3 linked regions of the Drosophila melanogaster genome follow. The protein of the gene in region 3 interacts with the protein of the main gene of each other region in a pairwise test. Each region holds a gene or a part of one and is shown on either strand. Other genes may lie near its edges.

Region 1 (8,237 bases), on a different chromosome or scaffold from region 3:
TCCCCGGGAGGCCACACACATCTTTTCCTCCTCCCGTTCTCGTTCGTCGTGTAGTATTTTTTTTTTTTTTTTTTGCACTGATTAAGTGCGTCATGCGGCTCGAATTTATCAACTAATAATCACCGGACAGCAACGAAGCAAATGCAAACGCTTCAAGCACTCCAAATGCTATGACGCAGCTCCAGATACAGATAATTATATACATGTTATGTACTGGTTGGTCACTGGGCAAGTGTATAAGTTCAAACGATAAACAAAACAAAACTCGTTATGGCTACTATTTTTTGCGTCTTAGGTTTTAGAACCCAGTCAAGCCAAGCAATTTGAATTCATTTCCGAGCTGGGACCTCAGTGCGTATGATGAATGTGGCTCCAGGGTAAACATACAGCAAAATGTATACAAGCCGGATGATTTGGGATGCCGAGCCAGAGTTGTTCTAGAGTTTTATTATTCAAAAGCCAACGACTTAAGTATTTTATTGCTCATTTAGCTGCAATGGTAACTGCATAATTTAGCCATTCGAATTGAAACTTTAGTCATAAAATCACGACGTAAAATGAAGAGAATGGCATAAGTCGTGACTTCCAAATGGAACGATGCATCGCTTTTATGGTTTCCAGCTATCTTATCTTGGTAGCTGCGATTCAAACTGGATTCTTGACTCTCCAATATCTTTCGAAACATCTCATCAAGCCTTATCTTTGGTTAAACAAATAACTAAGTTAAGTAAGTAAGTACAGTGAAATCATACAAGACAATTCTTTTATCAACTGTTATTGAAAGGAACATGCTTGATTTCAGCTGATCAAATAAAATGACCAACTTTTATGGCATAATTACTGGTTTTATCAACCATATAACTGATGAATAATCACACAAAAACAACAATGATTTGTTGCCCTAGTCTGAAAACCTAAACACAAATGACACCGCATTTAAAGTTGCCAAGTACATGGGCACTCGCAAATTCCGCGGCCATCCTTCGCCACTAAAAAAGCTGTTAGTCTAGCTCAACTTTGACCTTTTGCTGCTCGATTTATGGGCGCTGATAAAGTTGCGCTTGCACTTTTCACCTCGACCACACGAAATGGTATATGATATAATGGGCCTAGCGCCATATTTCTACATATATATGTACATATAATGTAGTAATGTATAATGTACTATAGGCTTATTGGTGGCAAGCGATTTATCAGCGGCATCTGGGCCACTTCAATTCCAATAATTGCAGCCCAGCGTGTGCCATTTATGGCGAATTATTCATAATTGCGATTGCACGTGAAGAGTGCAGAGGAGGAGCTTGAGGTGCAAGCAGCGTGGAGCCATTGAAATTAGCCATCGGCTAGAGTGGGACGGCGACAGGCGAACGACGTGCCCTGGCTTTTCCGTTTTTCCGGCCCGGAGCGAAAGGAGCGCACGGAATATCGACAATTTGGCAGGTCGCCCACGGCAACCGTTGGCAGGTCAACGGGCAACAACAAACCGAAGCTCAAGACAGCAATCTGAACTCAATCTACTGCTGAACTGTGTACTTGATTGGGATTCAATGCTACTTCGGATTTACCGACTCAGAAGACTAAATAATTACGATTTTTTTTCTTCTGAGAACAAAAGTGATTTACATAATCCTTGAGCTTTTGATTTGCTTTAAATGTATCTTTTTCTACTTAGACGTGAAAAGAGATAATTTTAAAGGAAGTCTGCTGTAGTTACATACATAATTCATTGTTAAATTATCATTTAATACGTTTAATGGCTCTTGTTTTTTGTAAGATCTTTCAGTGTTCGATTTCCTTGGAAGGTGGCTAACAACAAGTTCTCTGCTGCCCCTAAAAATACTTGCTCAACTATTGTATTGACTGCAATTTGTCCGAGTCCTTCAAGGATATCGCCTCCGATGTGGGAGGGGGTACAAATTTGCAAAACAGAAATTATTCAAATGTTCTTTGGGGGGCGGAGAGACAAGATACCCCATCGGTAGGGGGCGTGGCAGGGGTTCTGGGGCACCGACAACGGCAGCAAATCACATACAGGAAATGTCACGCTATGTCAAGCCGCAGGCCAGCAGGAAAAAAAATCGTACAGCCGAAACGAACCAAATCACACGCTCAACGTCAGAGCGTGTTGTTGCAGGATATGGGAGAATATCAGTTGGGTAGGTGGGAGGCTAGGGGCGTGGCACGGTGGGGCAATGAGGGGCGGCGCAGGTTGCCCTACTGTTACGTGTTTGCAATCGATTTGAAAGTTACATAAAAACAGAGCCGCAGCAGACCAAGGGCAGAAAAGGGAGAAGGTGCCAGGGAAGTTGGTAAACACCTGAGTGGCCAACAAGAGCGTCAACAACAACAACAACAAGAACAACAACAGGAGCAGCAACAAGGCGCCAAAAGCAATTTGTGCGGCGAACTTTTTATTGTGTTTGCCTTCTGAGTAAACTGACCTACGCATTAAACATGCAGGAAAGTTAAACATCAGATATAGATACGTATACATACATGTATGTACTGGACTCAGATACTCAGGAGGACGAGACGAAATCCTGTCCATGGCGATGGCGCCGACAGGTTACAGTAGAGCCGTTAAAGTGGAGTCCTCACCCATTCATTTCCACACCCAAAAACCGCTAGAAGCAATAAAATTTCACAAAACAGCGAATAACAAATGTCTGCAGGAACAGTAAACACTGCCAATAGGTAAACCAATTAGGGCAACTATTAGAGATAACAGTCAAGTCGCTTTTAATGAACAACCCCATTATTCCATTTCGCTTTTCCTTTGTTTAGTTAGGAAAATTGGTCGACTATTGTCTAGAAAATCAACTCGAAGTTGATTTGAGGTTTTTTTGCGAATTGCCTAGATCGTCAAATTTCTTATTTAACTTAATTGCAATTCAGAATATGGAAAAAAGGTGTAGGAATCAAGGAAACCTACTAATTTAGAATCCCAGGACAACATGCAACCGCACTTTTTTTTACTGGCATAACTTGGTTTTCAGCACACAGGCTTCACTGTGGCAGCTGCTGAAATGATTGCGGCGAAGTTTTCTGGAGGTCGTTTAGAGTGGAAAAGCGCCAGCTCCGAGAGAGGGAGAGCGATAAAGAGGAAGAGAGACGGAATGGAGCGAAGGGGAGGGCAGCAGGGGTCCATTACGTCAGAGCCAGAAGCCATTTGGGTTTTGTCAAAAATTAGCAGTTAGGAAAAGCGAGGAAAACCCAAACGAAACCAAAGCCAAACATACACAAAAAAAAAACGAATAACGAATAAAAACGAACATCATAAATGGATGAATTAGTACAGATATGGCGAGCAACAAGAACAACAACGACAAAAACGTGCATACAACAACTAACTGTTAACTAAGTAAAAAGAAGAGTGCGCAAAATATACAATAGTGCTAATTGAAAAACAGATACTGGGATGCAAATGAAAAGTTTTAGATGAGGCAGTGTGTTTTCTTTTCTTTTTAATGGGGGCGAGCGCAGAGAGAGAGAGACAGGATAAGACAGAGAGAGAGAGAGAGAGAGAGAGAGGGAAGAGTAATAGATAACTGCAACAAAACAAATGCAAGCGGAGCGAGAGGGAGGGGAGTAGGATTAGAACTGGTTAATGTTATCTTCCAGACCCGCCCCTCTCTTTCACACCTTTCCAATTGGCATTTGTTTTGTTGTCTGTTTGGCACTTGTATGTATGTTAATTGTGCCCGTTGTGTGCGGTAGTGTAGGTGTGAGTGCAGGTGTGTGCGTGGTTGGATTTAAAAAACTCACCTGACGCTTTCCGTTGCTTTTTCTTCTATTCTTTTGTAGGCCTCAAAATTGAGATAAAAACTACTACCGCTTTTTACCAACGCCTTCTTTTTGGCTAACAAAAAGAGACCGTTGTTTTAACTGCACTGTCTATGAAAAAATCAATATTCGGTCTCGACCAACTTTTTTCTTCACCTTTTCTTTTACAACTTGTGTAATTTCTGTGCTCGTTCTGTTTCATTCACTTATTCTCTCGCTCTCGCGCGCACGCACACACACACACACGCCCGCTGTTCGCGATTGCCAGTAATTTTCGGGGATCAATTTCTTGTAATTTCTCCAGCTGCTTTCAAGTCTTTAATTCTCGGTCTCGATGCAGCGCAAAGCAAATTTGATAGTGATGGGGAGAAACATCGATGCATCGGGAATCGATGTTTTCATATAGGTGCTATCGAGCTAGCCGATATTTTAGAAATAGTATCGCCGACCAGCGATACATCGTCGCTTATCAAAACATCGGATTCTTAAATATTTTTGACTTAAAAATGTAAATGTTACTTATTATTGGTGTCTAAAACCTTTACATTTCTTTAAAAAGGTATTTTACGATGCTTTTTTTTTCAATGTTACATTTTTGCACTTCCAATGTAATGTAATAGATAATCCAAAACCTATATTATTTTAATATATTGTGAATATTTTGCTTGTAATGCTCATAACAGCAAGCATGCGGTTGGGTAGACATAAATACCCATCACTAATCAGCTGTTTCTTGCGTCCAGAGGAAACGTCGTGCGTTTGGCGTTTGATTGAGTCAAATTCAATTTGTTAACTAAATTCTTTCGTGCAGAACTGGATAGCTGATCGAAGAAATCCGTAAGCCAGGCTCACATGCATCAAAACACATCGGCCAGCTAGCAAAATCCGATTTCTTATTTATACTCCAATTACAGACATGCCGCGACGCTATCAAACAGCTCTCAATTCGGCCAAATACAGTGCCCAGGTCAAGACCAAAACTAGTGACAACGAATCCGATTCCGAAGATGATCTTCCGCCGGATCAAGATGCTGAGGATAACAATGAGCCAGATAATCTGCGCAGCATTTTGGAAAATGCGCCGCACTTCTCTTATCCCGGCTTGAACACTGGAATGTTGGGCCAACTCTTGTACGATCATCAGGATAATCCGAAGCAGGACTTGCCAAATTGCTCGGTTACGGTGCCGCTACCCCTCTTCCTGGCAAAGGATGGACAAACTCCCCGAGTGGAGGCATGCGTCCAAAGGCCATTCCGCTACGACGATTGGACACGGCAATTGCAATTAGGCAAGGCTATATTTGATAGGCGACTTAAAAATATGAGACAGCGTGTACAGAAGCAGGAGCAAGGTGTACACGATGCCAGTCTGTTTGAGATGGCTGAGCACATAGCCCAACAGGAGAATTCCTTCTTCAGGGACAGCTACGATTACTACTACACAGGCGGAAACCTAAACACGATTCCGTTTGATGGAAACGATCAGCTGGCCATGCATGTCAGCGGTAATAAGCTCAGAGATTTGCACTTTTCCCGAGATTATGGTGAGGCGGAGTTTTGGCAACCATTGCATTCGGCTACGATAGAGGAATCCTCCAGCGAAGTCTTTGAACTTCTTCCGCTCCACAATTTAAATCGCAGTCAAATGTTCCTGGCACGGTTGCTGAAGGAGGTTTCCCTATACGAACTTAAATGCAAAGACGAACAGGATTCGGATTCAGATTACGAACTCATTCGCCATTGCATGTTTAGCAGTCAAGTAGCTCCTTTTACAAGCGCTGCACAATCATTGGCCAATGCCAATACATTGGCCTTAGCTAGCCAGGATAGGTCTTTGCGCTTCGTGGATATTTCGACACAACAGGATATAGCCAAGCTTGATGTTTGCTTGCTAAAAGGACTGAAGAAAACCTCGAGTACCTGGGCACAGTTAAAGCAAGCAGAGGAAAGCACCTTTCACTGCCTAACACAGCCAGTTTTGTTTACCGTAGATGTGCGATGCAATCTGCCTCTGAATCCCTGCTTTGCCAGCGGCGTTCACTCAAAAGCTTGCGAGAGGTTCTCTTGTTTGGCCAAGGGTGTGAATCCTAATCTCTTGTATGTGGCTAGTAATCACAACTTCCACTGTTTGGATATCAGATGCTTGGGTAAAAAGCTGACCGATCGAGCTGTCGTCACCTGGACGCATCAGATGACCTATCCACCCTGTTTTATTGACACAAGCGTTCACCAGGACAGTGAATATATTGCGTTAGGTGGACTCTTACCCAAAGATTTGCGAATTTGTGAACTGCAAGGAGCTCAGGCAAAAAGTGTCGATGAAATGTTCTCGCCGGCAATACCATTTGCGCCGGTAACCCTGGAAGAAGCTTTAATAGATGCTCGCTTGGGAGGATTTGTGGATGTCTATGCTGATATAGCAGAGCGGGTAACGACCTGCATTACAGGAATGCGCTTTATTGGCTTAGAGGGGGCCAGTGATCAAGCTTTTACCCAGTTGCTAACCTCCAACAGCTTGGGAGATGTTTACTGCCAAAGACTAACGCTTAGGGATGAAGAGGAGCATGTCCAGCAGATCAGAACCGGAACTCATACAACGGAAGCCATTCGCTACCTTGCCAATGCCGTTAATGAGCGCGTCCAACGCGAGAACATCCGCTGCACACAAGTCCAGTCGATACCAGAGATAAGAGACATCTTTCGAGATGGTGCCAAAAGATCAAAACCTGAAGAAAAACCTTTAATCGTAGAGGAAATCGAAATTGACTATGGCATAGAAGATACTGATGTTTCAGAAGATGAAAGCCCAGCCTCTGAAAAGGTAAAGGAAGAACCTTCGGAATCCAAGAAAGGTGGTAAGAAAACGCCTAAGAAAAAAACCAAGGTGAAACCAAAACGGCAACCCAAAAGGAAAGCTGCCAGTAAGAGAAATGTTAAAAAGCAGAAGAGCATCAGTCGCGGTCCCTGGCAGAAATCCGCTTACAAGCTGTCCCACTACACGGACATGATGTCGACCCGTTTGCTGGACGTGTGGGATATGGAGGAGTACGACACCACACGAGACGTAACAAGAGAAATGTTCGATGAGCGTATAAAGGGGAAGGAGCTGGAACCTGAACAACGCATGGCCAATTGGTTGGAACAATTGCCCAGTCAGACAGTGGTACCCACTGAGGACGAGGTGACCGAGGGAAATCCCGACATGGTTCCCGGTACAAGTCTACCAAAGCTATATGGCGCCACTACAGCGAACTATTCAGTCATTCCAGCCCTTAATTCCGATCAGGACATCGGAGAGCGCCTTTTGAGTCCCAAAAAGGAATCGCCTGTTGAATTTGGCCGCGAGTATTCTATCTTGCTGCCCGGCCAGAATACTATCATCGAGGACTATCCCTGTGCCCCGCCAGCTAAGAGGCCCAAGGTTAAACACGTAAAGGGTTTCTAGCTTAAGTTAGAGTTGTTAACCTTAATTTAAATTTAACAAAAATAAATAGCAGATTATAAAGTATATTAAATAGAAGTAAGTAGATTTAGAATTTAGATTTCTGCCAACAATATTAAATGTTTTTTATTTTTTATTCGATTGCAATAATTTGAATAACACAACACACACTTCACATTAGCCCATCCCGAAAACTTTATTGCTTGTTATACTTGCCATTTTCGATTGATGTCACTGGTTGAGGATGTATCTCCACCAAGATCGGGTTCGTAGGCTGGATTCACGATTCCCTCGATGGGCTCGACCACAAAACGATCATTCCTGCGTTTGAGGGCGTATCCCACAGATCGTTTTGCCATTTTGGGCTTATCTTGATCGCCGTGCAGCATTATATTTCGCCCTTTTTTTTCCAACACGCCACACGACCGTTTAGAGAGTGCCTCAGATTTCGACTGATTTTCAATTAATTTGGGCAGTTTGCATTTAATTGATTGATTCGATCTATCTATCGCTCGTCGGCGCTCAGTGGGGCGTAAACGAGCCAAGGGTGACAATTCCATAGGAGTGGCCATAGATAGAATATATGCTTAGTTTAGTTTAAGCTAAGCTCGGTTGAGCTGAGCATCCAAAGCTTTTAGTTGGAAAAGATTATCTTGAACTAAATGCAGCGAACTATTGAATGCTATTGACGGGAACATTGGCATATTCACAGATACAATGCTGAAGCTCAGCTCCAAAAATTTATTGGGAATTAAAAAATTTTTAAATTGATTTTGACAACATATGTGCACACTTAATATTAATCGTTTTCATTATATCGTATCGTATTAATCTACCAGTGTACAAAATTATCAAGCACGGTTTAAAAATAAACTGTAATAAATTAAATTAGAGTATGAAAACAAAAGAAAATGTCACATAATTTTGCCGAATTTAATTCGCCAATCATTAAATTAACTCTTTATCAGGCTCCACCCACAAATAAAATAAAAGAGGCGCCTGCGCACTAGAA
Region 2 (8,883 bases), 2.4 Mb from region 3:
CATGTGGGTCAGGCGAACGGCAGAGAAGGTATCGCTCCTGACCGTTGGCAACGTGACCTACAGTGGAGACCCGAGAATTCGGGTGAAGTTCCAGTACCCGAACAATTGGCGATTACTTATCAATCCCACGCAGACTGAAGATGCCGGAGTTTACATGTGCCAGGTTTCCACCCATCCCCCCCGGGTATTCACCACAAATCTCACTGTCTTGGGTATGGATACCACCAATTCTAACCTTATAACGAATCCTACATGGCAAGTTTTCCGCTTTCAGAACCCCCCCTGAGGATAATCGATGAGCACGAGAGGGACGTGGGGGATCGTTATTATAAGTCTGGAAGCACCGTCGATCTACAATGCCAAATATCGCGTAGCTTTTTCCAAAAAGAACGTCAGACCATTCTAAAATCAACCGATTCTGCAAACGATGCTGTACAGAAACTAATCAATGAGACGACTAGTGAGCTTAATCTAATTGGCAACGTAAATCAGACGCAACACAAGTTCTCTGGCCAGGATCTGGAGAAATACTTCACCAAGTTTATAACCTGGGCAAAGGACGAAGAACCACTGCAAGGAATGACCAATAGGCGCTTAAGGTAGATTACAAACGATGCAAGTCGGAATTCCTATATACTGTGTCCTGTGTATTGCAGCGTTTCCGATGTTTGGCTAACCAGTCGTATCTCCATTGGAGATGCCAAACTATCCGATAGTGGCAACTATTCCTGTTCCCTTGGCAGACTGTTCACCGTAATTGTCCAAGTTCAAGTGCTCACAGGTAATTAATTAGTGATTGAAGTTTCGTGAAAATCATTTCCCTGATATGTTATATATATCTTTACAGGCGAACTACCCGCAGCTGTTCAGCACAATATTGGTTCAAGAACCGAAATCTATTCCCTTGCGATGTTGGGTCATCTCCTTGTACTCATTTTCCTCTTCACTTGCCTGAAAACCGAAAATCGACATTTCTGAGGCTTTAATCTGAGAAGGGACTGCGGAAAACCCCATAGCCATTCGATTTTCACAAACAATTAACCAATAATATTAGGTATAAACGAGATTGGCTGGTTCTAAACAACGGTTTTAGTTTTAAAGTTGAGAATCAGAAGGTGATTTCATTACATATTTTTGTTATAGTGCCTACGGTGTATAAGACTTTAAATTTGTTTGGACAAATATTCTTAAAAATTTGTTTAGAATTGAATTAATTAGGCAAAAAGATGACATAATAACAATTCCAGATTCCTAAGAGCCAAAAACCCAATGGTTTAAAAAAAAAAGTTTCTCGAACTTTTTTTCTAGTTAATTTAGTGATGATGTTGAAATATCGCACACATGTTATATGATGCCTCTTAAAGAGTTAAGAAACTGGCGGGGATAGCAAAATATTTCGTTTAATTTTCTGTGACTTTTAAAAGTTCATAGAATATGTGCATTAATTAAGTTTGAGCAACTAAGCAGGCAAATCAAATGTATCATACGTTATTATTATGTTATACCACTAATTCACAGGATAACAAGTTTTTTCAAGAAAACAACGATCTGATTAAAACTTTATGCGGTATACTACTTTTTCATCACCTATTATTTTGCTGTTTGTAATTACGGAATTGGGTGGTTCTGCATTTTATTAGAGATGTTTCAATTAATATCCAATACCATTTACTATATTTTGGGATCTGTTTTAAAAACTAACTTATAACAGTTTCATAATTGCTTTATTTTATAAAAACAAAATTGGTTTTGTTAAATTCAAAGGTCGTAGGCGATACACACATAGAGGTTCGTAAAAATGTTGGATAGAAATTTCCACTTTGACCTTAATTATACTTAAAAAAAAAATTAAATGATTGCATATGTAGCTGGCATTATTTACAATAACTATTCAACAGGAAAATAGGCGAAGATGCGTTCTCGGTGTTTTCACAGCTAATTTGTCCAATCGTCGATGAACTTCAATTTCTCAGAACGCTAGAAAGTGCAACACCCAGTGCTAATTATTGTGAGGGCGAGAACTCAGTGGGCGCCAGGACACGGCAGTGCATCTCGCGGATTAATGGCACCGTGTAGGCCACACACTCATCCCATCCGGGGGATCGCCAGGCTGCTTCCCGGGTCTCCTTACGGTCTTGCAGAGATTTGTAACCTATTTTGAAAAGAAGAGCAAATATTAATGTTTGCTTTACAGCTTATATAAAAATATGGCTTCAAAAATTGCTAGTGGCTTAAAATATCCTTTAAACCATTCTAAACGTATTTGGCAATGAAACTCAAATTACTCAAATCTTTTAATTATACTATCTATCACTTACACCAAATGTGATGAACATTGTACAGTCTTCCGATCTGCGAGAAGAATCCGGCGAATGCTTCGTTGTTGTGCTTGCGATAGTTGATGGCGCGGGCCCAGTTGTTTCCCCACTCAATCATGGTGCCAGGTGTCAGTCGGTATGAGCTGAGACAATTGGGTTAATTTAGCTATGCATTTTTGAATTGAAAATACTCTGCAACATACCGCATTTCGTAAATGTTCTTGCCGGTACGACTGGCAATTTGCGGCCAGTAGCTGAATGCCAAGAGATATTGCAGATGACGGGAGCGCAAGAACTTGGAACGCTCCTGCATCAAGCTAAGATACTCGGGATCGTTCCAAAGGTCTTCTTTGGCCTGATCTATCTTCTCGAAGCCTCCTGTGTACTTCCACAGGTGCAGGCACTGATCCATGTCGCCCACTTGAACCGTCCATGATGCCACCAATTCGCAGGAAAGGTTTGCCTTCTTCTCGTTGATCAAAGCGACAGTAGTTTTGCTGTAAAAGGTAAGGGTACTTTTAACAATCTATGCTACTTTCGGGATTTAAAACCACCCGGAAATGTGTTTGAAAGTATGCTATCGAAAATGGACAACGCTTTCAATGTTTATTCTTTAGCTTTGAGTACTCTGCACCTATTTAGTTCTTTTAGGCACCTTTTAAGGACGTTAAATTTCAGTCACTTACTAGTTATTTAAGTAGCTGCCCATGGAATCGGGCCTGACGTTGTGGGTATGAAGGGCATATATGATTTCCTTATCGCTGAGCATTCGACTGTGCGACTCCTTGGTTGGTTCTATTTTCCGAACGAGCAGTTTTGAGAACCATGATTCTGAATCGTTGCGGCTCGGAGTGGTGGACAGAGAGCTAAAAGTATCAATAATGGGTAATTTAAAAAGGTTGGCATAATAAACAATTACAAAATAAACTTACAATATCTTAATTGTATTCTGTATAAGGTAAGATATATTGGTAATACCTAAAAATACATTTTTAAATGATATGTTCTAAGTCCAAACTCTCTAGATAACGTTTTTAATAAGTCTATCTTTCAGATCGAAGATATAATATTCAATTTTTGGAAGGCCACTTATCAATATTAGCTATAAGTAGGCCAATTGAATTGGACCGTGGGCAAAAAATAGATAAATAAGGAGAACGCTATTTCCTTTACACTGAACTTACAAATTAAGAAAAGCTACCCCTGCGTATTATTAACTTTTTCGAATTTTCCAGGGGCAAATGTATTCATAACTTAAAAATACAAAATGCATATATAGTACGGCATTTCATACATGAAGGGTAACTAAAATTCGCACCGTCGTGTTTATTTTGTTTTTGTATACGTTTTTGCTTTGCTGACGTCGCAACGGCATTTTCATTTATGTATGGATGTATACGTACGAAATTGGAACCAAACATACATATTAACGTGTAGGAGTGTGAATGCTAGTGCTGGAAAGGGTACGCGATTTGTGTACCTACAAGGACGGTACCTGGTAGGTACTCTTAATGCTAAGTATGACGGCTTGGAAAATGAGTAAGCAACAACTACTCTGCGTAAATTTAATAACATGAGTTTAGGGAATTCGTGAATAATATATTTAATCTAAAAGACTTAAAATGACTAGTAGTTGAAAAACATAATGTTAATAAAAATGAACCCCTAGGCTGGAGGAAAATTGAATATGAATACCATTAAATATCATTATTTTAAGATCCTTATAAATACTGTTATTTATATATAAATAAGTAAGAATTAAGAATTAATTTTGTTATTTCAATCTAAAAAATTTGAATATACGAGTATATATTCATTGCCTATATTTCATTTGGATTCCACGAATCTGGGCAATTAATAAGTGCCACAAGCTGATATCCAGGTACAGGTACCTGTGCCTACTCGGCAACACTGATCAAATATGTAAATGGACTCAGCTGTGGGCAATTTTTGTGTTCATTTTTTATAGTATATTCATGTTGTTTTTCTTACCGGACAGCGTTGTTGTTGCTTTTGCCGACGGCCAATAGATTACGTAGCTTAAGCATTTTCGATTTATGTAGGATCTGGCGAGTATATATGTATATAGAGCGATATGGGGTGAAAACTGGAAAATAAAATCAGTAACTGTTATCATCCCGATTCGCCATCTCTACCACTGCAATGTGTGTACATTATGTGTACTTTAGTCAAGGTGAAGTCAGAGTCATTTTAACAAGTGCGCCGGTACATGGTCTATGGTAGCATTGATAATAGAGAATGTAGAGCGTTCTCTCGTTTCAACTCTGTCCGATTTCCCCACCCGCTTTAAATTCAGCAATTATTTTGGAAAAATAATAAATGTTTCTCTTTCCACACTAGCACTCACTTTATAGTTATTTGCGGGAGTGTTACAAACTAAAATAATATTTAAATGAAATGTTAACGTTAAAAGAAAACAAAATAATATGCAGTAGAGCTGTCTTAACCACTGACCGATTGTATCGATATATCGCGTCCATGCGCTTGGCTATCGATATGGACCTAAGAGTTAACAAAGTAGTCGTCTTTTCGATTGCATGCTATAGCGATAAGGTGTTTTAGTTTTTTGCGGTCACTCTGAATTAATTACGTTACATTTCAAATTTGTTTAAAAGCTGACTTTGAAATTCATAGTTTTTAAAGCGAAAATGGGTCATTTTGTTAATCTAGGACCACTCTTCTTCTTGGCCGCTCTCATGCTCAAGTCCGATCTGAAAGCTCCTATCCTCGTTCAGTTCGTTTTCTTCCTTCGCGAGCATCGGTAATAGAAAAAATGGCGGTTCGGCGTGCCAAAATGAATTAAATCAGTTTTAATGTTTTTCGGTATTAAAAAGTACTGAAAGTTTGTTAAAATGATAATCAATGAGTGATCGCACACTGCTAAACGCATTTTAACTCATTACTTTTCTTTAAACGATTTAATTATGTGATTTACACGCACACGCGTTTGTGCCGAGAAGTACATATGTACATACTTATGTGTGTGTGTGTAAGTAAGCAGCTCGGCTTGATCTGCTTTTTAAATTTGAGCGCGGTTATATAGTTCACGCACACACGTTTCCGCGGAGAAGTACATACATATGTGTGTGTGCGTAAGTGAGCATATCGGTTTGATTTGTGTTTTAAATTTGAGCGCGGTTATATAGAGTTCATATTTATAATGCTTGCTTATTTATTAAAACCCGACAACCACTTTTGTATGCTTAATACTTTTTGCGAATATATATATAAAATGTATTGCTATAAATTTCAAAATGAAATACACCTGAAAAGTGGACCAAAAAAAGAAAATGGCGAAAACGAACATTTTTGTTCTGCTTTACTTCTCCGCCCGTTTGCTTTAAATTCCATTTCGTTTTCTACCTTCGCCGGTGATTAAAACGGTTACATTTTGTGTTTTTATACACTCGGGCGTACATTAATACATACCTGAGTTAAAAGTGAAATTAAAAATAGCATTTCTCAATATATCGGCCAAAGGAAGGAAATATAATTAAATAATTTATTTGAGCAAGAAGCTAAAAAGTGTACATAATCATAAAGCGGTGGTAAGTAAAAGTTATTTTTATTTCAATTCATACCTGTTAATTTACGATTCCTGAAATCTAAATATATTACGTATACGTAAACGGGGATAAAAAAGTAATCCAAATCTAGAAACGATTTCAATAATTTAAAATCACGACGAGTACGCGGTGAAAATCAAAATCCGTGCCTAGGAAGGGTAAAATGTATTAATTTATTTATTTACATAGGTAAGGTAAAAAGTACTCAACTAATTTACCTTGGTACGTACCCGTAGGTACCGTTTTTGAGCTTTTATTTTGCCGTGAGTACTAATCTTGTAAAAGGACATCTGTTCTCAGAATACTGAATAAGTATGCAACAGTGCGGAGAAAACATCAAACTCTTTTTTTGCATTTTTTTTTTTTTTGCTTTTTGTTAACAATATCCAATTGTTTAAGTCGGTGATCGAAGCAGATCACTGTTTTTTTTTTATAAACAATGCGTTTTAATTATACGATAATCTTTATTCTACTAAAGGTAATACGAAAAATACTCATATGGAAGTTATATTTGTTACTATACATAGTACATACATTTTATATTATTAACCTCTATGTTTATTTTCACACACGTAAGGGGTTTTAAATTGATTGAATAGTTCGGTACTAAGAATAGATATACATACACGATTATTGTGTGCTAATGAGGTCACACATATACATTATTTTGTTATTGTTTTGCATGTATGTACATCGTTATTGTAATCACTGATATGCATTAATTTAATTACTTTCTCTTTCGGATTTTTCTGTTCAACGAAAGCCATATATGTACATACATATATCAATCGGTACCAAAATCTATTCGAGTTGAAGTTTAAAACATAATACGTACATATGCAGTGAATGTATGTATGTATGACTTCTCAGCCTTTAATTATAATTTTCACGTTGTTTTTTTTTTCTTTTCAATATACATACATATAAACATATGCCTTATTTAACAGAAAAGAACAGTAGAACTCAGATCACATAAAAGTTCATATCCATTTTTGGTGTTTAGTTGGGAATATACCATATGTAAAATCTAGACACACATGAGAAAATATCTTTTATCATATAAACTTTTTTTAAGCCCGATAACGTGGAAAGAATATAACACTTATAATAGAAAGTACAGTTGCTTATACGTTGATACTTTTTCAGTTGTATTATGATAAACTTATGTCATATATCATATATTTCATAATATACTATTTGTATTTCCGCTAACATCCAGAGCTGTGACCACTAACCAATTTTCGGAAATTCTATTCAAGAGTCTGGTTGGTAATGCACATTTAGATTTATGTTGGAAATCGCATATCAATAAAACAAGTTACCTAAAAAAATATATAAAAGTTACATTCGTAAATGAGTTTTCATCTAACTACCTATCAAAATATCTGTACTTATGAACCTTATCGAAGATAAGTGGGCTTAAATATAGTTGATTTTCCTATTTTTCTTTTTGTTTTTATTACTTTGCATTGCGTGAGAGATTTCTCTTCGTACATTTACATACATATAGAAACATATCTGAGGTATAAAAAGCTGTATTATATCTAATTTTTTGGTTGTCCTCCTTGTAGCTAAATACATGTACCAATGTCGCACTTTACTTTAGTTAGTGAGTTGTTTCTACGTCTGGCTTGATCTCTTGATTTTTGTTGACTTCTTTAAGTGTGTTTTAAAATGTTGCTTGGTGTGGATTTTATTCATCTCATATTGTAAAATATGTTTTGGTTTTATTGTTTTTTTTTTTTTTGTTTTCGCTTTTGTATATTTGTGTGTCTACCATAATGGTTCATTATTTGCTTATTAGATCGGTCGGATACAATTTCATCTCGATCGAGTTAAAATTTTAAGTTGGTGGACATTGATGATTAGGCGGATACTTTATCTAAATTTCCCCATCTATATACATATACATATGAATATTTTGCCATTTCTACAGCGGTTTTTCACATCTCTGTATCGCGTTCCTTATCTGTGCCTTACATTGTTATCACAATCACAATAGAATAGTTCTTATAAGCCAGCCATCCCGTATTCTCGTCCAATACTCTCCATTTCAAATTTCATATCCATATCTATAACCATATCCATTCCATATCGCTCTACGATTTAGATTCAGGTAAGGATAGATTGGCAGATTGCATACATCTTGGGGCTTTTACTTGTGCCATATTCGTACTTATAGAGAATGGCATGTGAGACAATTTCTAACACTATGAATATTTGTTCGTTATTTGGTTTCATTCAGAGACATACCATTCTGAGACATACAAAAAATACATTGAGAATCCGTTGAGTTTAACCATTTAGAGGCATTCATATGTATACATGTATACGAATATATGTATGTATATGTATATACTCATCATATATATAAAAGTACAAAATGTTTTGTTTTTTATTTTCTTTTTTTTTCGTTTTCTGTTGAATGTTTCTGGTTTAATTCAAATACACTCTAATACGTCTAAGAAAAAAACGTGCCTAATTCTTAATGTGTGCAAGTGTCAAATGGTGTATGTATGTATGTATGTATGTATGCATGTATGTTAGTTTGTCTGTAGGTACACTTATGCGCTACCATGATCAGAATACAAAAGCTATAGACCCAATGCAATCTATAATTCGCACCTCTTACTTTGAAGTGCGAGTGATATAGCATTTAGTGGGGTATTTTTGTTTGGCTTGGCTTTGATTTGACTCTTGTTCGTGGTCACAGTAGCTATAATTAGAAGCTTCGTTAAGGTACTTAAATGTTTCATTAAATTTCTGTTTTCAGTGGTAGGTTTAGATACACACATCAGTGGGATGTGTAGGTACATATTCGAATACATTCTCCAAAAAGCTGAAAAATCCTCATCGCTTTTGTTTAATTTTCCACTTTGTGTTTGCTTTTTCGACTAGGCAATTAAAACAAAATCAGAACGTTCACACAAATGTTACAAATGTTCCTTAACAAGATAACTAGAGAATGAATTCAGTTG
Region 3 (7,548 bases):
GATGATCAGCACATCGAACTCGGTGATCAGCCCTTTGATGTACTGGTTGGAAAATTGAAGTGAGTTCATATTAAAGCACTCTACTTAAAAATGACTCTACTCACATCAGCCTTGTCCTTGTACCACCCACCGCCCAGTCTAACGCCAGGCTGATATCTTGATCCCTGCTTCTTTAGCACAATGCCCTCGGCGTGGGAGTCGAGTGCCTGCTGGAACAGCTCGTTGAACTCTTGAACGGAACCGATTTTGCGTGCACGCATCAACTGCAGCACACCCGACTGTTCAACTATGAGTTTCTGCAATTTGTACGCCCGCTGAATGTAGGTATGGTCCAGCAGACTCTGGCCATTAAAATATAGCAGATCGTACACCACGAAACATGGCTGCCAGCTGCCCTCCGGCTTCAGGCTCTTCACGTCCGTATTCTCGCCTTTTTCCCGAAAGCGCAGTTTGTTGGTATCCCACACCATCATCTCGCCGTCGAGTATGATAGACTCCAGACCCAGCGGCAGAAGTCCCCTCAGCTTTGGCGTTAAGGTGCCGTGATCGTAGCTGTGACCAAAGTTTCTGGTGTAGTCCACTCCATTGCGGGAAATGTACATGAAACGACCCCGATCGATGTGCAGCTGAAAGCGTTCGCCATCCATTTTGGTCTCCAGATAGAGCACATCCGACTGCATCAGCTCCTGGATGTCACCGGGGAATCGTTCGCACAGCATGGGACGTATCTGGTGGAATGGCCGTATGACGGAATTCAGGTTTACAAACTTGACCGCCGCCTTGCTGTCCTTGCTGCTGCTGGCGTCTAGGTCGGTGGTTCGGTCTGCCAGCAGATTGCACACATGTCCCAGATCGGAGCAGCGCTGGTAGATATCCTGCGCCTTGGGGTGCAGCACACCGAAAATCTTTTGCTCACCGATCCCCAGCCCGAGGCTCTTAAGCAGCAACCGAATTAGCCACTTCTGTTCCTCAGGCGAGGCCTGCTCCGTAAACCGGATGAGTTGCTGCTGCTTAACTGCAAAGAGCGGTCTCATTAAGACGTTCAGTCGTTCAGATCAGTTTAAAAGCGCCCACCTTCTGTGTCCTCGTTGGCAATGGTGTCCAGCATCTGATGGATTTCTTTCAGTCTCAAATTGCTGGGCGGATTAAAGCACCTTGGCTTAAGCACGGAATAAACAACATCACCGTAGTCCCGGTACATGTTTCCGTTGCGGTGCTGCAGCCTGATGGCATCGCTGGCTAGTAGAGACAACAAAGAGATTCTAAATAAGCCTAAATGCCATTGCCAATACGTTTCTGCACTCACAGTCCGTGGGTAGCTGGAGCACCCTGATGTAGAGCCTGCCCAGCGCGGTGATCTGCAATCCATAGGTATCCCGACCAGTGTCCGCACCCGGAAGCAGCAGTCGCAGCACGGAATAGAAGCTACTGGCACCGTCCTCCGGCTGGTCGTTGTTTAATCCGGTTTGCCGGCGAAAGGATTCGCGGTGGCGACAGAAGGACTCGTAGTAGCTCTTGAGGACCTCCTCCTTGTTAGCCACCTTTTGCGTGGCCTTAATCTTCTCGAACAGGCTGCAAATATCCCGGAACTTGATCGTGCTGGCTATATCTACGCTCATTTTGTTGTTTAAAAACAATATACTGTTGTAAACAATTTCATCACTGTGAACATCTGTTCAAGCAATGTGACCGCGCTTCTCAATCAAAGTTAATACCCATTTTAGACTAGTTGCAATATTAAGATGCGGACGTTAGTGGCAGAGATTATTTAATTTTTAAGCTCTTCTATTTGGCATAAAATAGATAAAATAGTTTATAGGAACAAGTTAAAATTAGCAGACTATATAAAATACCAAAATTAATCGATAGACTTCTATCAATAACCAAAAAGGCGGCAAATCGTTTGTTTTGGTTCGGTCCACAGTTATTGACTTTTGCTTCACGCTTGGCAAGTTATTCGAGAAAATGGGCAAAAAGGAAACGCGAGCGAGAAAACCAAAAGCTGATCCGGATGCGGAGGGATCTGCCAAGATGTGCAAGGCCTCGGCACTGAAGAAGGTGTTCTTCATGTCGGAGGAACTGCTGCCCAAAGATGCGGACGACGGACACCTTCGGCTGGAGATGTTTTTCCATCCCGGACATGGCAAGGAGGCACTGTTCATAACCCATCCCGATGGCAGAATGATGGAGCTGGTGGCGTTCACGGAACCCCGACGCAGTTGGTTCGTGGACAGCGAGGTCTGCTCCAACGGCAGAATCTACATGACCGCGCCCGTGGATCCCACGTTCCTGGCTCTTCATCACCTCCGAAAACATTGTGCGCAAAGTAAGATATTATCATTCGCTTTCGATGGTATACTATACTATTGTATTCTTGAAAATCTTTAACCACAATCAGGAGCAATATCGCTGGACAACATTGCCGTGGAGGAGGCCAGCACCAGTCGTCTGCTTAACGAGATCCTCGACCCAGGGAACCTTAAATGCGTGGCAGATGTGAAGAGCTCTGGCGAACAGAAGTTCTACAAGTACAACCAAGAGCGCACATTGGCTTGGTTGGCTCTGAAGACGCGCCAGGTGGCGAAGATCCTGAAGGAGAAGCAAGTCCACTGCGGCCACAGTGCGCAGTCGCAGAATTTCGTGCGAAGCGAGAAACTGGTAGCTGAGAACGTTAGCAACGAAATGGACTACACGCGCATGGCTTGCGATTATGTGGGACGGTATTTGGATGCGGATCTGCACGGCTTGCTCACCAGTTACCTGCACATTCCTAGCGAGATTCAGGCGATTGTTGAGGAGAAAGCAGCTTCTCAGAAGCGCAAGTCGGTGGCGGGCAAGAACGAGGGCAGCGACTCCAAGAAGATCAAGCTAAATGAGAGCGATGCTGCTGCCAAGCTAAAGTCCAGCGGTCTAGTGGACAGCGATGGCGATCCCAATGCCACCATCACATCGCCCACAGCGGCGCCTCTGAAGGAGCGCTCGCTGACCGCCAAGGAGAAGGCCCTGGCCAAAGGAGCCAAGGGCACTAAAAGCATCGCATCGTTTTTCAAAGCGAAGTAGATTAACGTTTCACAGATCTTAAGAATAGGTTTTAACTCCTTATTTTATATATATACTCTATTTAATACAAATGTACACTTTTTTTTACAATGAATATAGTACTTTAAAGAATTACTTTTGTTATTTTAAGATTTGTATTCATAAATTTGGTATTTTGAAAGTGCGCCTTTTTGGCGCATGCGCTGTTTGATCATCTCTCTTGATTCCGTTTGGTAAATCCCCATCAGCTGTTGGCGTTGCCAGGCTTCTAAGGAATTGGTTTACTTAGAGGCTTCAGTGCCAAATGTTGCGAATAAAGAGTTTCTTAGTCGACATATTTTTTTAGGTATACCATATAAGCATATTAAGTAATGCTAATTAAACATATGAAATCAGAGTATACTAATAAAACTAACTAGAAACGAAATTAATTTTTGGGGATTCATGCAACACATATGATTTCAATCCTTAGTTCATTGCGCGGGGTGGCAATCCTGGCCGTCAGTTACAAAGCTGCTGGCTCCTTTGTTTCCGTTTTTGTCGCTCAGTTGTTGCTGTGCGCGCTCCCACGTTCGAGGCTAACGGTGAATTCCGCTTTGCGCCTTGATTCGCATTTCGCCACCCCCGTTACCCATTCGCCCGCAACCGAATATCCTGCTACTCCTGCTCTTGTTGTTGTTGTTGTTTTCTATATGCCTTGAATTTTCGGAACAACAATTACAGGGGTTACATTAGTGAATTTTCCCGTTAGCCGTGTGTCCCAAAGCCAGTGCTCAAGTTTAAATTGTGAAAGGCAGAGAAAGGAAAAGAGTGGCGTCACACGAAAGAAAATTTTCTTTGGCGTCGTCGAGGTGTTTGTGCCTTAGTGTGTGTGTATGTGTGTGTGCGAATGTGTTGTGGTTGGTGTGGCATAAGATAAATAATACAATGCAGCACTCAGTTAGCAACAAATTCTCTCTTCTCTGCAGCAGCAGCAACAACAACGGCAGCAACACCAACAATCGCAACGCAACGCACAAAAGCATGCTACGGTAAATTGCATTTGGCGTCTGTCAAGGACAAAACAAAGCGCTGTTTGTGTGAGTCCGACCACAACAACAATAGCAACAACAGCATGTGGTACAAATAACGGAACTGCAAAGTATCAACAGCAAAAGAAGCAAGTAGAAAGCCAGATAGGAAAGCAAAACAAAAGACAGGAACAAATCGCACACGAGGGCCAAAACGGACACAAAACGGAGGCTGCGACAAGAAGAAAGCGAAGAATCGAAGAAAATAAGGGAGAGGCACACACTCCCCGCACCTCCTCCCCTCACCAGCCCCGTAGGACATTTGGCGCCAGTCCGAGCAGCAACTGCGACAGCGGCGTCGACTGAGGCAGCGTCAGCGGCTGAGAAAGATGTGGCTCCGTCCCTCTCCCTCGCACACAAACGCGCTGCAGTGTCTCCTGCTCTCCTTGTTCCTCCTTTTGGGGCTGCTGCCAGCGAACGTAAGTGCCCTTCATTTCATCAATGTTGCAAGCACTCAAACTAGCATAATAACCGAAAAACAACGAAATGTTATGCTGTAGTTAATTTTTAAGCGCATTTTACACATGTAAATTGTCAAGGTGATAAAAATCGCTTGTGAATTCATTTAAAACAAGACACTATACGTTTCACTGCATGCTTTTGGGAACCTTTGTATGTGCGAGCAATTTAAACTTTGGTTTTCAACACTGTAATATTTTGATTAAATACAATTATTGTGCGCTTGTTGCAATTTGGGCCCACGAAACGCCTTAAAAAAAGATAACAGCTAATCTTTGTAAAAAGTTTTTTAAATAAACGCAAGCGCATCCATGTTGCATGCACATTTGAATTTTAAATTGATTGCGATTGCTTTCCCAACGGTAATAAATGCATAGCACACAAACATAAATATGAGCACAAGAACAAGGGCGCAGTACAGTGGTCGCTCGCTATACAAAAACACCACAAAAATAACAAGCTGTTGTTTATATTCTTTATTTATTGGCAATGACAATTTCAAAGGTGTATCGACAAAAAGTGGAATACATTATTTTTTATCATAAAAAATGTGCAAATATTTCTCATGATTAAACGAATAATATATGCAATGTCTTGTTCCATTTTCCCAGGTGTCTGCCAGATTTTGCGAGGGCTGCACTCAGGGCTGTTGCACCCAGGGCTGCTGTCCGCCGTACCAGGGCGGGCCACGCCCCCTTCCGCCCTCCTCGGACTCGCATGTTCTCAATCTGTTCTTCGCCACCCACTGGTTTTTCTGGTGAGTAGTGTTGACCCGGAGAAACTCCTCCTTTTGGAAACTTCTCTGTCTATCTAACTTATCTATTCGAAATTGTAAAATAATAGGAATCTTTCGGAGACAGTGATTCTTTTAATTGCGCAAAGTAGAAGTGATTTATTTAGCTACTGCGATGGTCACGGTCATCATGAATTGCACTGTTTTTGTTTTTGTGTTTGGGGATTCCCCGGAGGTCGTCTGCAAGGCCGTTCAATGAGGCGGGTTTTTGGGGCGTTGGAATGGTGGGATGGATTGGATGGCGTGGGTTTTCAGTGTGCTCTGGCCGGACTTCCAGCTGATTGGCATTGTGTGCCATGCGAGAGATATTATTATTATTGGCAGAAAAGGTGGCGCCCAGCGACGGGGTTGCGTCAAGTCAAATGTCGAGTCAAGTCGAGAGGCTTATGCAAGCTGTACCCCCGTGCTATGCCACCACTACCATCAGTGCGACCAGCACATAGTACCGACCACCTCCCTTGGGGGCTGTGGAAATGGCAATGCCAACTAATGAGACACAAACGGAACCCGCACACCGCCACCCAGCTCATATAATCCCATCTCTTGGCCATCGAAAAGGCAAACAAATTTCAGTCGGAATTCGATTACGGGAACAGCAGGACACGGATCCGGATCCGTATCCGCACCCACATCCGCATCCACTACTCCAATGGGCTTCTTCATTCAGTCGCGCCAGCTGCAAACCGAGCAGTGAATAACGATCCTCACTTTGATATTACAAAGATTGATTGAAAATCTATATTCTTATTGCAGGTGCGTGGTTGTGGCCATCATCTTGGCCATCCTGTGTGCCTACTCACTATGGAAGAAGCGGCGGACACTATGCGGCTGGGGATTCAATGAGCACCACACCCAATCCGAGGGCGATTCCGCCGGCTCCTGCTATGCACCACCACAATATAGTCGCTGCAACTCGTTTCACCATCCGCCGCCGCCATATACGGAGGTAATGTAATCATATACATGACCGGAATCGATTCGCTTAACAATTTCCATCTTCTCAGGTGACCTCCAAGCCGGATCTGTATCCACTTGTCTTCACCTGCAACAGCGATTCGGGCAATGGCAAGGGCAACGGCAGCTCCAGCTACCTGATGGTGCAGTACTTCCGGAACTACATCGTCCGTCCGGCTGCCGGGGGATCCCTGAGTGCGGCCAGCACCGTCGACTCCCTAAGCTCCAGCTTCATTTGCAATGCGAATGAGGCGAATACCCTGGTGCCACCACCATACTCACGGGCAGCCAGTCCGGAGTTAGGACTGCATCATTATGTGGCCCATGCCCATGCGCATGCCAATGCTAATGTCAATGCCAATGCAAATGCCCATGGACACGGGAATGGCCATCTGAGATCTGTGGAACAACAGGCGCCATCGCATCAGGTGCCAAATGCTCCGCTGGCATCTGTGCACTACGCCATGCCGAGATCGGCATCCCAGCTGGTGGAAACGGATGCCTATCAGCCGAGACTGATGCCCGCCCAGACGCAGGCCCAGCATTATGCCACCGTGGCACTGGGCAGTGCACCGGGCGGAGCAGCGCTCTACAGCACGCGGCTGCATGCATCTCACGAGGAGGGAGTTGGCGTGGGCGTTGGTGTGGGCTACCTTCAGTCCCAGAGTGATCAGCACTTCCGGTATATGGCGAATAGCAGCAGCAGTCTCAGCGACATCTTTGTGAACAACAGCTGTGTGGCAGGTGGGTATTGTGATAAGGAATTTCCTATTAAAATACTTATTTATTGTTATATGATTTCTTGCAGGAATGCTACCCGAAAGCGGAGGAGCTGGTGGTGCCTTCCATGGCGCGGAAAGTGGATCGGCAACACAGGCTGCCTCCCTGAATAGCCTGGCAATGGGCGGCTTGGGAGGATCGGTAACGGGTGCCGCAGGCACATCGGGAGGATCTGGCACACCGGTGATATACAGCAATGGCTGCATCCAACCGAACCCGCTGCATAGTCTGGAGAACTGCTGCCAGCCATCGGCTCAGGTGTCCGGCGTGAGTAGTCTGGCCAACATTGGAACACCGGGCTCGCCGCCTCAGGCCACCAGTCCGACGGGCGAGGTGCGTGAGATTCTCGACCAGATCCGCCAGCTGCAGGCGGGCGTTAGCTACGAGCAGCTACTGCTGAACGGAACTGGCGCCAAGCCCCGGCTGCAGCATACGCTATCGACGCCCTCGAAC

Evidence for each region. The genes of interacting proteins can lie anywhere in the genome.
Region 1: the proteins of CG11164 (region 3) and MESK2 interact in a two-hybrid assay, tested with the Drosophila melanogaster proteins (one large-scale study listed by BioGRID).
Region 2: the proteins of CG11164 (region 3) and Nipsnap interact in a two-hybrid assay, tested with the Drosophila melanogaster proteins (one large-scale study listed by BioGRID).

Annotation. Positions count from the first base shown.
Region 1 is NT_033778.4:21,498,008-21,506,244, reverse strand, and holds the start of MESK2 (misexpression suppressor of KSR 2), read right to left. Parts: upstream 4,149-8,237; 5' UTR 3,766-4,148; intron 99-3,765; exon of another isoform or gene 1-98. Other genes in the region: TAF1C-like (TATA box-binding protein-associated factor RNA polymerase I subunit C-like), read left to right, coding at 4,700-7,228; CG46395 (uncharacterized protein), read right to left, coding at 7,432-7,614.
Region 2 is NC_004354.4:16,068,717-16,077,599, forward strand, and holds Nipsnap (nipsnap), read right to left. Parts: upstream 4,853-8,883; 5' UTR 4,794-4,852; exon of another isoform or gene 4,716-4,793; 5' UTR 4,687-4,715; intron 4,567-4,686; exon of another isoform or gene 4,385-4,566; 5' UTR 4,367-4,384; coding exon 4,311-4,366; intron 3,185-4,310; coding exon 3,005-3,184; intron 2,816-3,004; coding exon 2,522-2,815; intron 2,462-2,521; coding exon 2,319-2,461; intron 2,153-2,318; coding exon 2,004-2,152; 3' UTR 1,649-2,003; downstream 1-1,648. Other genes in the region: dpr18 (defective proboscis extension response 18), read left to right, coding at 1-212, 275-599, 657-781, 848-978.
Region 3 is NC_004354.4:13,666,122-13,673,669, forward strand, and holds CG11164 (uncharacterized protein), read left to right. Parts: upstream 1-1,892; 5' UTR 1,893-1,965; coding exon 1,966-2,326; intron 2,327-2,398; coding exon 2,399-3,060; 3' UTR 3,061-3,452; downstream 3,453-7,548. Other genes in the region: DNAlig4 (DNA ligase 4), read right to left, coding at 1-42, 105-1,015, 1,075-1,239, 1,307-1,619; CG15760 (uncharacterized protein), read left to right, coding at 4,439-4,528, 5,180-5,325, 6,115-6,307, 6,366-7,059, 7,124-7,548.